Diceros bicornis minor: one gene and its partner. The protein of the gene in region 2 binds, or shares a complex with, the protein of the main gene of each other region. Links are inferred from orthologs where the notes say so. Each region holds a gene or a part of one and is shown on either strand. Other genes may lie near its edges.

Evidence for each region.
Region 1: DRC3 (region 2) and IQCD share a complex: the UniProt entries of both Homo sapiens proteins name them as parts of the nexin-dynein regulatory complex. The link is inferred for Diceros bicornis minor from reciprocal best matches to the Homo sapiens genes DRC3 and DRC10.

What each region holds. Positions count from the first base shown.
Region 1 is NC_080774.1:11,198,020-11,206,194, reverse strand, and holds the start of IQCD (dynein regulatory complex protein 10), read left to right. Parts: upstream 1-5,082; 5' UTR 5,083-5,141; intron 5,142-8,175. Other genes in the region: TPCN1 (two pore channel protein 1), read right to left, coding at 1,522-1,633. UniProt on the Homo sapiens protein: Component of the nexin-dynein regulatory complex (N-DRC), a key regulator of ciliary/flagellar motility which maintains the alignment and integrity of the distal axoneme and regulates microtubule sliding in motile axonemes.
Region 2 is NC_080757.1:1,376,938-1,384,696, reverse strand, and holds the start of DRC3 (dynein regulatory complex subunit 3), read right to left. Parts: upstream 3,184-7,759; 5' UTR 2,928-3,183; intron 2,716-2,927; 5' UTR 2,646-2,715; intron 2,517-2,645; 5' UTR 2,403-2,516; intron 1-2,402. Other genes in the region: TOM1L2 (TOM1-like protein 2), read left to right, coding at 3,897-3,948. UniProt on the Homo sapiens protein: Component of the nexin-dynein regulatory complex (N-DRC) a key regulator of ciliary/flagellar motility which maintains the alignment and integrity of the distal axoneme and regulates microtubule sliding in motile axonemes.

The DNA of each region.
Region 1 (8,175 bases), on a different chromosome or scaffold from region 2:
TCTTCCTCTGTAAACTGGAGATAATAACAATAACTCTCTCTTGAGGTTATATGATGAGATAATATATGCAAATACCACGGGCCAGCACTCACATTTACTAAAGACTTGTGGAGCAAAAAGGAGAAGCGGGAAAAGGAGAGGGAGGAGAGGAGAGGAGAGGAAAAAAGGGAGGAGGAGGAAGGGAAGGAACTTTGGAGTCAGACAGACCTGGGTTCAAATCTCTGCTCAACCACGTGCTTGGCTGTGTGACCTTGGGCAAGTTTCTTAACCTCTCTGACTTAGTATCCTCCTCTGTAAAATAGGGATAATACCGCCTACTTTGAAAAGGATCTTAGTGAAGGTAACAGATGAGAAAGAGCCTATCACTTAGCTTGAGAGCTCTAGGGCATTTAAGAAGTGTGCCTGAAATCAGAGCCACCGGTTTCTCAGCCCTGAATGGTGCTTAGAGAAAAATCTGGTTTACATTCTAACCTTCCTGGACCACCAGCTCTGCCGCCCTAGACAGGGTGAACGGCAGCGGAGAGGCCAGGCTACAGGGAGCCAGGCCGCCCGCGGCACTCCCATCTACAGGAACACTGCCCTCCTTCATCACTTCTGAGGGGAGGCTGCTGAGCTCCGGTACCCAACTGCGTTCTCTCCGGACAAAGGAGACGGCAGAGCCAGGCTCGTCTTTCCCCACACCCAGTGTCTTCACTTGTGAACTGGAGGAGGGCAATACCCCTCTGTCCTAGCTCCGGAGCACAGGGCGGGTGGAACACCCATTGGCTAAGAAGACCACAAAGCGCCAGTCCCTGCCATCTTAGGACCCTCCACAAAGGGCAAGTTATTTTAAGCCTCTCCTGGGCCCAAGGCCTGAGCAAATGAAGCAAACCGCTTCGGGACAAAGACCAGAAAGGTTTTTAAGGCCTCTCGTTCTGCCAGCAACACATTTAAAATTTTAAAAATTTAAAGCTCGCAACCTCTCTTGGGTTCCCTTTGTGCTAGGCTTTGGTTTAGAGGAAGACAAAGCAAAACCCCAAACCCTCAAATCAATGGATCCTGGCAAAGGCTTGCCCCTTTCCACCCCATTCTGGCAACGCAGGCACCAAGCTCCAACGGAAAGCAGCAGTCAACTCCACTCTCCTGCCAACGGTTTCAGGTTGGGGCAGACGGAGGCGGGTGTTGAAATCGGTTTCCTTTTTTAACAAGGAACTGGGCAGGGAAGTTCCTGGGCAAGGAACCTAGCCTGGGAGCAGGTTAACCTGAAGTCCCCGCCAAGCATCCCCGAACAAAGCCAGGGTACTCAGGTGCCAGGGAGGCAAGGCGCTGATGGGAGCGAGGGCCCCGGGAGGGCAGAGCAGCCCCCGGAAGCATCCAGAAGCTGGGATTAGGACCCCACAGTCTCCCAGTAGTTTGTGAGAACCTGGAGCCAAATGTGGGGTCAGGAATTAGGGTACACACATCTACTATCAGACCACCACGCCCACAACTCGCCCCTTGAAATAGAAAAGTTGCCCCCCACCAGCCCACCCCACGTCTTACTTCTGCTGGGCAGCTCCTCTCGGCCCAGGCTGTTGGACGGAGCCAGTGGGGCACTGCCACCCTCGTCCAGGGTCAGGATGAGGGGCACGTCGTCATCCAAACTCACAGCCATATGCTCTCTTCTCCTACAGCCCTCAGGATGCGATGTCCAGGGCTTCAAACAGCCTCTGCTTGGAGCTCCCTTTCAAAGCCACTGGCCCAGAGGTGCTTCTCAGAAACTCCTCCATTAGAGACATCTTCTAGACAATAAAAGATAGACAGGGATAAAGAGAGAGATACAGATGAAAAAGAAAGAGAGACAATTATCAGAATACAACCACTACTGATGAAAATGTTCTGGAATTAGATGGTGGCAATGGTTGCATAACCTTGTGAATATACTAAAGACCACTGAATTGCACCCTTTAAAATGGTGGATTTTATGATATGTGAATTATATCTCAAAAAAATAAAGAAAAATATTGCAATACAATAGCATTAAAATATGGGGAAAAACTCTGCACGAACAAAATCTGAAAGTTAGGGGTAATTATGTCTGGAGCTTCAGATTCTGGCTATGTTCCCCCTCCACCCACCTTACACTGGTGTTTTGAGTTTTGTAAAGATTTGAGACTTAAAAAAATACAACTGTTAAAATAATAGTAGCTAATACTCAGTGAGCACTTACTGTGTACCAGGTATTCTTACAGCAATTTTTAAGTAAAGCTGATTGAAACTTTATTAATAGACAGGTAGGATTATTATCCTCCATTACAGAGGGGGAGGAGACTTTAGGCTCAGAGAAGTTAAGTAACTTGCCCAAGAACCCACAGCTATAAAGTCAGGCTTTGAACTATGCAATCTGACTCCAGACCCGAGCTCCTAGCCACTACACTAGGATTCCTCCAAGTCCTAGCCCTGGCGTTCAGGCAGCACCTCGCCCCAATGACCCGTAAAGAGGCAGGGTGCCAGGTCATCTATGCTCGCCCACAGCCTTCTCATACAGGTGTTATTCTCCTCGATTTAGAAGCTTGAGGAGGGCCGGCCGTGGCTTAGCGGTTAAGTGCGCGCACTCTACTGCTGGCGGCCCGGGTTCGGATCCCGGGCGCGCACAGATGCACCGCTTCTCCGGCCATGCTGAGGCCGCGTCCCACGTGCAGCAACTGGAAGGATGTGCAGCTGTGACATACAACTATCTACTGGGGCTTTGGGGGGAAAAAATAAATAAATAAAAATCTTTAGAAGTTTGAGGAGGAGGGCGAAGAGAACAAGAGTGTTTTTTTAAATGATGTCCAGAGTCACACAGCAAAAGCGCTCATCCTGAACTCTCAACTGAAAACGCTCAGAACTAGGCAGTTACAGGTCCTATTTATACACATTCCCATTTCCGCTGAGGAGGGCCAAAAGAAAAGCAAAGACTCAGCAGATCTGATAGCAGACCTTTGACCTTGAAAACAGCAGCAGATTCCTTCCTCCAGCTGGACCCTTCTGGGCTTAGTCAACTTTGCCTCCCAACTCGCCCACTGAATGGCCACCTGGAAATTGACCTCTTCCACAAATCATCAGAATAACCCCAAGCAGACCCCTGTGCATCAACATCCTCTCAAAACAAGGTAGCAAAAGTGAGCACCATTCCCTTTACTGCTAAGCCTGCAGCTCTCAGCCCCGCAAACTTCCTGTGAGATTTTTTAACATTTCCTCCAGATCTGGGGACCTATTCTGCTTTTAAATCTCAGTTGTGGGGAGACAGAAGAGGAAACCCCAAATGAGACACTACCATTAGACTGTCTTAAGAATTACGTGTTTTGGGGCTTTTTTTTTTTTCTTGGTTTAACGTTCTACCACAGGTATTTTCAAACATACTCAGAAGTAGAGAGAATATGTAAATGAATTTCTTTGTATCCATCACTCAGCTTTGACAATTATCAATATCTTTGTCATTCTTTCTCGAATTTATTTTGAGGACAGGAGACTCTATTAACCGTCTGAACTCAAGAAGAGGTTTCTGATCATTATCATCATAACGGCTAGTGGCTTTCATTTTAACTGTTTAATATATAACTGCTTGTATGCATTGTCTTGGCCCTGTGGCTCTCAACTGGGGTGATTTTGTACTCTGGGAGACACTAGCAACATATGGAGACATTTTTGATTGTCACAACTTGGGGGTGGGGGGGTTAGAGGGAGAGGCCAGGAACCCAGCTGAACATCCTACAATGCACAGGTGAGTCCCACCACAACACAGAAACATGTGGCTGAGAACGTCAGTAGTGCTGCTGTTCAGAAATCCTATTTCATTAATATCCCCACTTTACAGATGAGGAAGCTGAGGCTTGGAGGAGATAACTCAACTTGCCTCTTGTAGGTAAACAGCAGGGAAGTGGTGGAGACCAGAGTCGAATCCGAACAGATGAATTCAGGGACCTTTCCCGGCTGGACCCTATACCGCCTCCCAGGAACAGGCTCCCAATTTGAATTCAAGCCCATCGTGTTACAGAGAGGGAAAAGTGAGGCCCAGAGGGGACAAGCCACTTGACCAAGGTCACACAGTGCAGGACTCCTGAGTCCCAGCCCCGTGTTCCTTCCGCGGGCTTTGCTTCTGGCTCTCTAGAGGACCCAGAAGGGAAGGGTCACCCCTGGGGACACGTCCCAGGAAAGAGGGCCAGCAGCCTGACCGGGGCACGAGTCTCTGGCGGGCTGGGTCGCCTGAGGGCGCCAGGAAGAGGAGCAGACGAGGGAGGAGGAGCGGGGAGAGAAGTGCGGGCTCCGGCTCCACGTGCTCCAGCCCCGGTCTGGGCCCCGCGTGGGGGTCGCCCCGGGAAGCCAGGGGGCGAGCAGAGGGGGTACAAAGCCCGGGCCCGGGCTGGAGGGAGAGAAGCCCAGCGATGACTTCCCCGCAGCCCCTCTGGGCCCGCCCAGCCCGCCTCCCACACCCCAGCGCCCAGCCGCAACCCCTTACTCCGCGCCCTCTGGCCCCTGACCCCTGCCCTCTCAGGCAGCCCAGCCCCCGTCCCACTCGGATTCTTACACGCGCCGCCCCAGCAACCCGGACCGCGCGCCAGGGTCCGCACCGCGCAGCCCAGCCCGCCGGCGCCGCCGCCGCCGCCAAAGCCGCGAGCCCGGAGCTCTTGCAGCCGCCGCCGTTTCAGCCGCTGCCACCACAGCAGCTGCGCCAGCTCTCGCGTCCACCTCCTACCGTCCCCTCAACTCCAGCGGCCCCGCCCCATTTCCCCTCCGCCACGGCCTATTGGCTACCTAGGCTGCCATGGTGAACTCTGATTGGCCAAGCCTCACGTCCTTCTCCAGTTCTCGCCCGCTGCCGAGGCAGGACTCCCTACCCGCCTCCTTGTAAAGGGGCGGGACAAAGAAGCCCCGCCCCTTCCCCTTCTGCGCTCCCCGCCTTACTCGTTCGGCCCAACCCAGAGGGCGTCCCGGGTCTTTCAATTGGTGGAGGGTCAGAGAGACGGTGCTCCTGATTGGTCAGGCCTCAGGAGGTGGGGCTAACTGGGCGGAACAAGGAATTGAATGGTGAAGAGGAAAGTCAGTCAGACGCCGAGTCCCGCCTTCCGAGGTGGGTAACCTAGCAACGCAGGTACCGCGGAGGTAACTGTGGGTAGAGAAACCAGGAGCTCTGCGAGCAGGTGAGTGACCAGGTGGGGAAGGGCTAGAGATGACGGGGAGATGTGGAATGGGGTCTACCCGCTATCCTTTGGCTCCCTGAAGAATCCGTAGCCCGCAAGGCGATCCTGTCCCCGCCCCAGGACCGTGCTCTCCAGCCCCTGCCTCTGTCTGGACCTCCCCCTCGACCGCCTGCGAGGACCACTGGACACCCTCTTCGGTGTCTCTGCCTCTCGCCTGCCCGTCCGCGTGTCCACTGCATGGTCCCGCTTCCTCGTCCGTAAAACGTGGGTGATACTAGTCAGATGGAGTCGCATCATAGTTAACTAATTTCAAGTCAAACATAGGTGGTGGGGGTGAGAGGGTAGTTTATAAGCCCCCTACCACTCTACCCAACGGCCAGACATTCTAGCATGAGCGTGCAGTGAAAGGCATCTCACTTGAGTGAGTGTTAAAGTTAGGTCATTTTGATTATACCAATTTTTGCCTTTAGAGTTTAACTCCCACCCTTGTCCTTAAAATGTGATTTTGTTGCACATACTTAAGACAAAGGGTTTGTTGTGAGGACTGAATGAGGTAAGGCAATGGAGAGCTTGGCATGGAGCCCAGCAACATAGTAAGTGCTCATTTAATAGTAGCAATTTTTTTCTAAAACTCACCCATCTTTGACTCTTCTGGCTTAAAACAATTCCAAGGGAGTTATCGTATTCCATATCTTACATATTCATATATTCAACAAGTATTTACTGAGTGCCTACTACTGGGTGCAAGGGTAGAGCAACCAATAAAAAACTTTATTTCTCCCCCCCATGGAGTTTGTCTAATGTGGGAGAGAGTCATTAGTCAAATAATATACAGATAAATGTAAAGTGACACCTGTGGAGATTCACTTCCAGAATGATGGAATGAGGAGGTTGACAAATCTTTTCCTCAAAAAGCAATTATAGTCCATCGATGGATGAATGGATAACTAAAATGTGGTATACGTACAATGGTATATTATTCAACTTTTAAAAGGAATGAAATTCTGATAAATGCTACAACATGGATGAACCTTGAAGACATATGCTGAGTGAAAGAAACCAGACACAAAAGTCATAGAGACAGAAAGTAGAATAGTGGTTGACAGGGGCTGGGGGGAGGGGGAAATGGAGAGTTAGTGTTTAATGGGTACAGAGTTTCAGTTTGGGATGATGAGAAAGTTCTGGAGATGGACAGTGGTGATGGTTGCACAAGATGCGAATGTAATGTTAATGCCACTGCACTGTACACCTAAAATGGTTACAATGGTAAACTTTATATGATGTATATTTTACCACAATAAAGAAAAAGCAACTATGAAGCTGAACAAAACTATCTAGCGCTATATTAGCACTCTGAAAATCAACCAAAGGCATACAACAAACAGAGCATTTATTCGTGAAAACTTCTGAGCCTTAAGTTTGTGATGCACTTACCTGGGGCTTCTCCAGTTTCCCCACCCCCAGTTCTATTTGCATAATAGTTCAACCAGGGCGAGTAGCCCATGAAAACCAGTCTGATGGGGCTCACTTGATTTGGAGCATTGTTGGCTAAACTGGCAGTCTTGGTGGCAAGAGATCAGGGAGAGCCAGCAGCTCCAGAAGTCCAAAGTTGCAGTCCTACTTGGGGACAACAGTGGCCTGACAGCTTAGAATCCTGGGAAGTGAGGCAGCCATAGGGGGCTTGATAAGCTCTCTACATATTCTGGTTGGCCAGGGCTTATGCACATGTGTAGTAGAGACTAGACCAGCCCAGGCCACTTACACATCCCTGGCCAGTGGAGCCTGTGTAGACGAGCAGAGGAGACACAGGGGGGTCCGGCAGAAACTAAGAGTCAAGGCAGACTTGAAAATGACCTGAACATTGACTGCACTCACCAGCAGAGAACAGAAGCCTTACTAGCTCAAAGTGTTAGAGCACAACCTCTGACCAATTTTTGGCTGAATATTAAGCTATGCAGATACAGGGGCGACCCCTAGGAAGCCAGGTTTAGAAATAAAAATGAGAAAAAAAATTGAACAGAGACATCAGTAACCGCACGTTGTGGAGGAGACCAACTCGACAGATTTAGTCCGGGAAGTAACTTAACAAACACCCAAGCAAAACAGTAACAAGGACGACAATCATTAGGAAGAAAAAAAGTTGAAATACAGAGTTGCTACAAATTTTATCTAAAATTTTCAGTAGTCAACAAAAATTGTGAGATGTGCAAAGAAACAAAGAAATGTAAATATCCTCAGGGAAAAAAGCAATCAATAGAAACTGTCTCTGTGTGTCCCCAGATGTCGGCTTTAGCAGACAAAGACTTCAAAGCAGCTATTATAAATACATTCAAAGAACTAAAGGAAACCATGTTTAAAGAATTAAAAAACAGTAGGATAACAATGACTCATCAAATAGAAAATATTTAGTGTTATTCTAAAATAGATTGTGATAATTAAGATGCACATTATAATCCCTAAATCAACCACTAAGAGAATAACTCAAAAAAATAGTTTAAAGATCAACAGAGGAATCAAAACAGTGGGCTAAAAAATATTTATTTAACACAATAAAAGGCAGTAAAGAAGTAACAGGGGAACAAAAAAAGACATGAAATGAGACAAATAAACAACAATAGCAAAATGGCAGATGTAAATCCAACCATATGAATAATTTTATGTAAGTTATTAAGTGTAAATGGAAAAAAACACTTCAATCAAAAGGCAGAGATTGTCAGACCAGATTAAAAAAGCAAGACCCAAATATATGCTTCCTGTAAGAGACACACCTTAGATTCAAAGACACAACTAAGTTGAAAGTAAAAAATTGAGGGGCCAGCCCCATGGCATAGTGGTTAAGTTTGGTGTGCTCCGCTTCAGCAGCCTGGGTTTGCAGGTTCGGATCCCAGGAGCAGACGTACTCCACTCATCAGCCATGCCATGGCGGTGACCCACATATAAAGTGGAGGAAGATTGGCACAGATGTTAACTCAGGGCTAATCTTCCTCAAGCAAAAAAAGAGGAAGATTGGCAACAGATGTTAGCTGGAGCCTAA
Region 2 (7,759 bases):
GCCATTCATGTCCTCCCACTGAGAAATTTGAGCTTGGGGCCAGAGGATGAGTGCCCATCAGAGCTGGCTGCTTGAGCTGGGGAGGAACTGGGGGACCGTGGACTGGCCAGGCACGTGGTTAAGCAGAGAGAGCAAGAGAGGGATGAGGCAGACAGAGAGAAGCAGAGATGGGATCCAGTAAAAAAAAAGACAAAAAGACAGACAGACTGACATAGAGACTGCCTTCTCCTTGCTAGCTTTCTGGCCCCTAATGTCCCTAATTCCAGGACCTGTGAGGGCTTCTTCCTCTCCTGTGAGAGTGTCCTGACTTCTCGCATTAAATCTTCTTTTACTTAAACTAACTCCAGTAGGTTTCTGTCGCTAACGGTCCAAGGGGATTTGGCTGAAATACCACAGGCAAAGGGGAAATCTGTGGACTTGTTCACTCACACTGTGAGGCTGACACTGGGCTGCTATTCCTGGCTGGACAAAGCCACAGCCCTGGGAAGCTGGGGTGCCTGACATCATTCTCATCACTAACCCTCTTAATGAGAACATCCAGAAGCGCTGGATGCTGCAGGAAGGCACCCTCTCCTATCAGTCTACTGGAAACTTCCAGATTCTGCCTCCTACACCCTGTGGAAACTAGGTCCTCCCTTCTGCTTTCCACCTCTGCTTCTCACTTCCCTGCCGGCTTCACCTTCTACCTTTGTCCAGGTGCATCCCCAATATCCTGGCCTCCCTGAACCTCCTGCCTTCTGGTCCCTGATGCTGGGCAGCCCCTGTGTTCTGCTCTTTATTCTACTGAGCGCTGTTGGAGAGACTCCTGGCGGTGGACTGATGGTGTCCACCGCAAACCCAGGTGGGCCTGGCAATCCTGCCACCTGGTCTTAGAGACTGCCACTGCCTGGCTGCCCTCCCTCCCTCCTCCCCCACCATCCACTTGGATGCAGCTTATGCACATATGCATCTTTCATTTCTGGACTGTCCACAATCAAATGTCCTAGTGCCTTTAACTCTTATGTGTCCTTTCTTTCTGTCCCCAGAGGAGGCACAGCCTCTCCTACCCACTACCTACACCCTCCTCCCTCCCCCCACACCCCTTTTCCACTTGTGCCTTCCATCTTCCCATTCTCTCCAATCTGTCAACACTGGCTCTATCTCCTTAGGGTGATTGATTCACCTCCTGAAGATGTTTCCAGTCCTCTGCCTCTCTCCATCTCCCTACTCTTCTGAAACAAATTTTTCCAAGATTTCCCATAGCTTGCCTTTGGGGAAATTTTACTGTGCTGCATTTGGCAGATGTTACCTGCAAAGTGTTTGTGTTTTTTTAAAGAAAGGTGCTGCACTTTGGGAAATGATTCTAAATTCTGATTTCAAAACTTTGACTTCTCATCCCTCCCACGTCGTCAAGGCCTGGCACCTGTGACAGATCAAGCTTGCCTTCAGTCAAGCCCGACAATGGCTATGCAACATGGAACAGCTGTTATGCACACAAGGGCAGGATTTGGATCCTGACTGTGCATCCTTTGGCAACTCACTTCACCTGTCTAAGCCCTCGATTTCCCATCTGTAAAAGATGAATAATTCCTCCTTCCTACATTTGTTTAAGATCATTTATTTAGTCCACACACGTAATGAATAGCTACTACATACTATGAATAAAACAGACAGATCTCCTTACCTCTGTTTCAGACATGAATCAGATAATCAAAGAAATGTTTAATTACAAACAGTGACAAGTTTGTAGGTGTAGGGAACTCTGACAGCATACATTAGGGGCACCTGGCCTGGCCGGAGGAGATGGGGCTGAGATCTGAAGGAGGAGTGGAAAGAAGAAAGGGAATCGCATAGTGAGGGCCCTGAGGTGGGAGAGAACAAGACATGTTCCACTTTGGCTGAAGCAACGCAAGGTTGAAAAGGTCGACAGGAGTTCAATTATTATCCTGGGACCCCTGGGAAGCTCCTGGGCCTTAATAAGAGCAGTGGCATGATCAGATTTTAATTTTAAGAAGCTCTCTCTGGCTGTAGTACTGAGAATGGCAAGAGTCGTGACGTGAGAGATGCCCAGGGTGGTTGGTGGTAAGATGTGGATTTGAGAGATCTCTAGGAACTTAATTTACATGCGGGACTGATCATCTGCAGTTTTCAGATAAGAAAATGGAAGCTAGTTAGAAAGGTTAAGTAACATGCACAAGTTTACACATGTATACGGCAGAGGCAGGAGAACATGACTCCAGAGCCCAATTTCTTAACCATGACTCAACTGTACCCAGGGTACTGTGGACTGTCACTGTCACAGCTCTAACATTGTCACAATGTTTCTCACAGCTGTTCTGGGTCAGGGCCAAGGCCCGAATTCTCTTCCCTTAAGAGGATTTTATCAGTAATTTACCACCCAATCTGGGTTCCTGTTGACTTGCCTGAGGACAGTGTTGTCACTGTAGATCAGAGGTTGGAGACGGGGAAGGCAGTGGAGAGTTTTACATCACTGTCAGTGGAGTAGCCTCCTCAGGAGAAACAGATCCAGAATTGTCCTGGGAAACAACCTGGGATTAATTGGATCTGAAAAATATAGCCCCTATTGGCGATGAATTAATAAGAAGAAAATCAACCATTTACTGAGTGCTTACTGGGTACTAAGTGCACATGTGTCATTTAATTACCTGTCAGCTCCGGACGCCATCAGAGAAGGGAGTCCTAATGCCCTAACTTCCCAGATGGGGAAACTGAGACCTGGAAGGGAAAGGAAATTGTCCACAGTCATACAAGGAACTACTGACAAGAGACAGACATGGAACTTGAGTATCCATATTCCCACCCAAAGCACTTTATACAGCACCAAGATGAAGAATAAAAATAAGAGAAATAATTTAACGACAGTTAAGAGGTCGGATATGAGGATTAAATTCTTGAAGAAGTTATCAGTGGATCTTTCTTTCGGGTACCTTTGTTTCTACGAAAGGGATCAGGCCAGGAGGCTGGGAGATGGAACCCCTTAAACATCTCTTCGAGCCCTGCTCCCCAAGGAAATGCTTCCTTAGCCTTTTTTTCTCATCCGCAGGCCTGAAAGCCCGGGTACTAGCGTTCTGACTGTCTCAGCGCCGCTGCAAAGTGGCTGGCAGGGGATCTGTGTGCTCATTTTGCAGATGATAAGGGCCGGCCGCACTTCTCGGAGTAAAAGGTCAGAGAATTACGTCGGGGCGCTGTCTGCCCCTGCGAGTCCTCCCGGAACCTCAGCTTCGGATCTCACCTTCTCAAGCGCGGGCTACCGGGCTGGTTCCACGCAGCAGCCACTTTGCCCGGTTGCTAGGGAAACCAAGCGCCACCACTCCGTTGCTAACGGGAAGTCAGAAGATTGACATCCTGAGTGAAAGTTGAGGGGGCACGTGACCACGTTTCTGGGCGGGGGAATACTCCTGCCACCAACCAGCCGGAGAGAAAACAAATGTTTCTCCAATCAGCACTTTCTACGGGCGGGGATATACTTAGCCCCGCCTCTTCCCCGCCCCCTATTTGAGTGATTGACTCGTCTGTTCTCCAATAATCATAAGGATTCCCTAGCTTGACCAATATATAAAGGAATCAAAGCGCACAAACTCTCGTTCGGAGGCGGGCCAGGGGCGGTGTCACTACGCCTGAGGGAGGTTCCTGTGACTGAGCTCACTCCTCCGCCCAATCGGACAGCGCGGGGTAGGTGGGGCTTCGCTCGGGAAGCCGTAGGGCCCAATCGGAGGAGGGCAGGGCAGGCGTTGCCCAATAGGGACGCGACAAGGGGGCGGGGTCAGGGGCCGCGCGTTCGGCGCTCTAGAGGGTGGGGCGGGGGCAAGTGTCAGTCAGGTCGGGAGCGCGGCGGGGTACAGCGGAGACCAGCCGGCTAACAGGGCTCTGGACGGCTGCCGTGCTGACCGCTCAAGATGGAGTTCCTCCTGGGCAACCCGTTCAGCACCCCGGTGGGGCAGTGCCTCGGTAAGGCCGCGCGAAGGGAGGGCGTCTGGTTGGGCGACGGCGGCGGCTGACAGGGCCGGAGAGGACCACGGGCCTCTGCGGGCACCGGGGCCACCTCCTGGTCGCCGGGCCCCTGCCCGCGGGCGGGCCGGGCCTGCTCACGGCGTCGGTGCCACCCTGCCAGGCGGCGCCCCGAGGCCAGCTGGGACTTGGAGATGCTCCGCGCGGCCCTCCCCCTCGGGGCCCGGCTCCCCCCGGCTCCTGGAGGTGGTGCCCGCGCTGTCGGCCTACCCCGCGCCTCCTGGGAGATGCCACTGCGTGCGCCCTTGTCCAGCCCGACAGTCTCGCTGCCACTGCCGCCGGGACCCGGTTCTCCCAGACGCCTCTCCCTGCATCCCTGCTCCTCCTTTTCAGACCAGCAGCCCGCGGACTGGGCACCCTCCCAGAGAACGCTCCCTGCCCTGAGACTTGCTAATTAGAGCTGCAACTCGGCTAGGCTAGGCCGTAGGAGGGACTGGGAAGGGGGAGGGGTTCCTAGAGGGTGACGATCTTGGCAGGGGGGCTGGCATGCCTGCACTGCCTCCGGGAAGAAGGGGGGCCGTGCTATTCAATGATAAGAGCCCTGGACTGGGAATCAGGAAGCCTGGGCTCCAGTGGAGCCTTTGCCAGTTATCCTCCCTATGACCTTGCCCTTTCTGGCTTCACGTTTTTCCTGTCTGTCAAATGAGGTGTTTGGAGGTGAGATGTGGTAGGTCCCTTCAAATGCTCAAGTTTTGATAGTCCTTGTAGCAACCTCTGCACATTGACTGTTGCTTTCTTGCTACATTAAATTTGCCAAAGATGAAATCTTTTGGTGGCAGTGTAGAGAGAGGGGTACTTGGCAGTACCTGTTAATCCTATAGGGGGCTCTGGGTCCCCGGAAGAGGGCACCAGAGATGACCAGTATCCTGGGTAAGGAAAGCCCAAGGCTAGTGAAGGGACACCTGTGTGGCCACCATATGAGATTTCCTTACTGAAAAAGCAACTTGCCTTTTCACCCAAGGCAGGAGCTTATGCCAAGTGCTCAGTCAAGAACGTTGATTAGTTTCTTTTAAAACTGAGTTCCTCCTGGTTTGTGGAGGGGCTGGTAAAAGGTCTTTTATCAGCAGGGAGCTTTGGTGTCCTTATGGGCCTGGCTGGTTTGGGCAGAAGTGACTTGTTTATTTTCTGCTTTACTTATGAATTTCCAGCTTATGTTTCAGCCTTGAGTGGGGCCTGTGAAATTACTGAGGTCTCTTCTGTTGGCTAGCTGGCATTTGGGAGCCTTTCTTTTCTCTGTGGTGAAACGTCTTTGGTAAGGGATGGTGGACACTGGGCTTGGGAAGAGTCTTTTCCCATCTCTGTGGACTACCTCCCGTGTTCCTCTAGGTTTTCACGCCCCTTTCTTCCTCATTTCCTTTCCTCAGGTGTTCGTTCACTGCAGCCATACTCCAAAAACTAATTTCTCAGTTGGGTGTTGAATTCCAACCAGTTTTTGGAGGGAGCCAGTAAGCTTGGGGGATTTTTTTTTTCTTTTCTGTCTCTTTTACAGTAGGAAGCTCTACACCTTTGAAATGCCAAGGTATTTGATGAGGGGTAGAAGTTAAAGGGGATTTAAAAATATACAAATATAAGGGATGTAGGGGAATGTAGTGAATGGAAAGAGCATGATGCTTCTGTCAGGAAGACCTGAGTTGAATCTTACCTTGTCCATTTGTTGGCTGTGTGACCCCAGAAGATTGTGTAACCCTTCTGAGCCTTAGTTTGCTGAGAGAGAGAGGTTGATAGGTACTCACAGAGTAGTGCGGCTTAAGTGAGATGATGCGTGTCAACTCTTACCACAGTGCCTGGAACACAGCTGAGGCTCAGTGAACTGGGGCTGTCACTGCTCACACAGAATCATGAAGTTAGGGCTGGATTTTCTCCCTGGAGAGGATATGAGGGACAGCTGGCCTGTCTGTGACCTGTGAAGGAAAATACCCTTCCAGGCCCCAGCATCCACCATCCCTTATAACAGACACTGGACCACAAAGGGAATGAAGCCTCCTCATTGCCACTTAGTCAGCAGGCAAGGCCTAGGTCATTTCACAGTCAGTTCAGTTCTGATCAATGATTAGAGGACAGAATGAGGTACTAATGTCTATTCTGTACTGTTGTGACAAAGTGTAAAAGTGGCTTTCTTGACATGTAGTATTGTTAGTATTCTTTTAAAAGTATGTGCTGGGGGTTGATGGGAGGGAGGGGCATACAGAAATAAAACAACCGCAGAGCTAATGATGAAATGCAGCAGTGATAGCTTACACACAGCAGTTCTACAGCCATTGTTTGCTCCTTACAGCTGCTCTGTGAAGTGGGTTTTATTGTCCTTCTCACTTTAGAGATGAGGAATCTGAGGCTCAAGGAGTGAAGGGATGGCTCAGCTGGTAAGAGGGAGAGCTGGGATTTCACAACTGTCCCGGTCCTCAAGGGCTTTCTGGTGTCAGGGGAGAGAAGAGAGGTGTATGGAACAATGACGACTAACAGAAGGCCACTCCGTAGCTCAGTGCTCAGTCGAGTGGTGGGGACTGTCAGTGCTGTTTGGAGTCCAAAGGAATTCAGAAGAGCCGGGGGGGTGGGATTGGCTTCCTTGAGTCCAAGGGCTGTTCATGAGGATGGGTGTGACTTCTCCAGTGAGAGAAGGAGACATCTATGCCTGGGGACAGGTAAAGGAGGCAGGAAGGGTGTGGGCACGTCTGTGAGCGCCAGTCTGAGGGGAACAGAGGTGGCTGTGGGCAACAGTGGCAGGTACGCTTTTGGCCCAGGGTGAAGCCCTGTTCTGGCTGGGTGACATCAAAGACGAGATTCTTTAGCTGACTTCAGCTTTTACTCTCCCTGAACCTTATTTTCCTCAAAAAAGAATACCTCTCAACAGCTGCACAGGGCTTGGACCTAAATAATTCCATCAGTCCAATTCAGGAGGCGTTTTGAGTGCCTGTGGAGTGCCAGGCTCTGGCATACAGATATTAAAGAGTTGCTGTCAGGGAGCCTTCAGCAGAGGTATCACGTCACCAAAGGTATCCTGGAGCTGCAAAGCAGTAGGCTCCTAGTCTGAGTGTCAGTAGAGTAATTGTTACTTTGTCTCCTGCCTGGGCCTCACAGGCACATTCTGACTTGGTGCTGTTTGCTCAAAGACACAGTCTGCCCTCTTGAGCTAGCAGCTAAGCCCACAGTCTGACTTGGTCATCTGTGCAATTCTCACGTCAGCCCTGCCCCGGAAGGTGGCTCCTGAGTAGGATGCGTCGTTCCGGACAGAGCTGCAGTGGTGTACGAGCCTAAGGAGTGTGGAGAAAGAAAAAGCACTTACTTTTATTTCCTGATTTTTCTCTCCTGAAACAAGTTTCAGAACGTTACTGTCTTGTCTCAGCCCTGCACGACCGCTGGGATTTGGATGACCGCTGGCGTTGGATTCACACGTCAGGAGTTCCCTGAGTCAGGGCCATGGTGCTCTGCAGGTGTCTGCGGTTTTCCTTGTGGTGGCTGGAAAACACTTTCAGATAATCCTTTTCCAAGAGTCAAGTTTGGGTTCATTTAGGTTAAAGGATCAGAGAGTAGCTAGTTAACTCTGAACAGAATATTGGGGGTGGGCAGGGAAGATCATTTATTCTCTTCGTGGTTCTGCTTTAATAAACGTGTAAGCAGCAGATATTCTGTTGTGGGTTTGTGTTTGCAGATTGGATGGTGTTGGACGTAAACTGCTTCCTAGTGCCCTGTGAATGCTAGCGTTTGACTCTAGTGTGGCTGTTTGTACCAAGGCTGATTAGTCGTCCCTCAGATT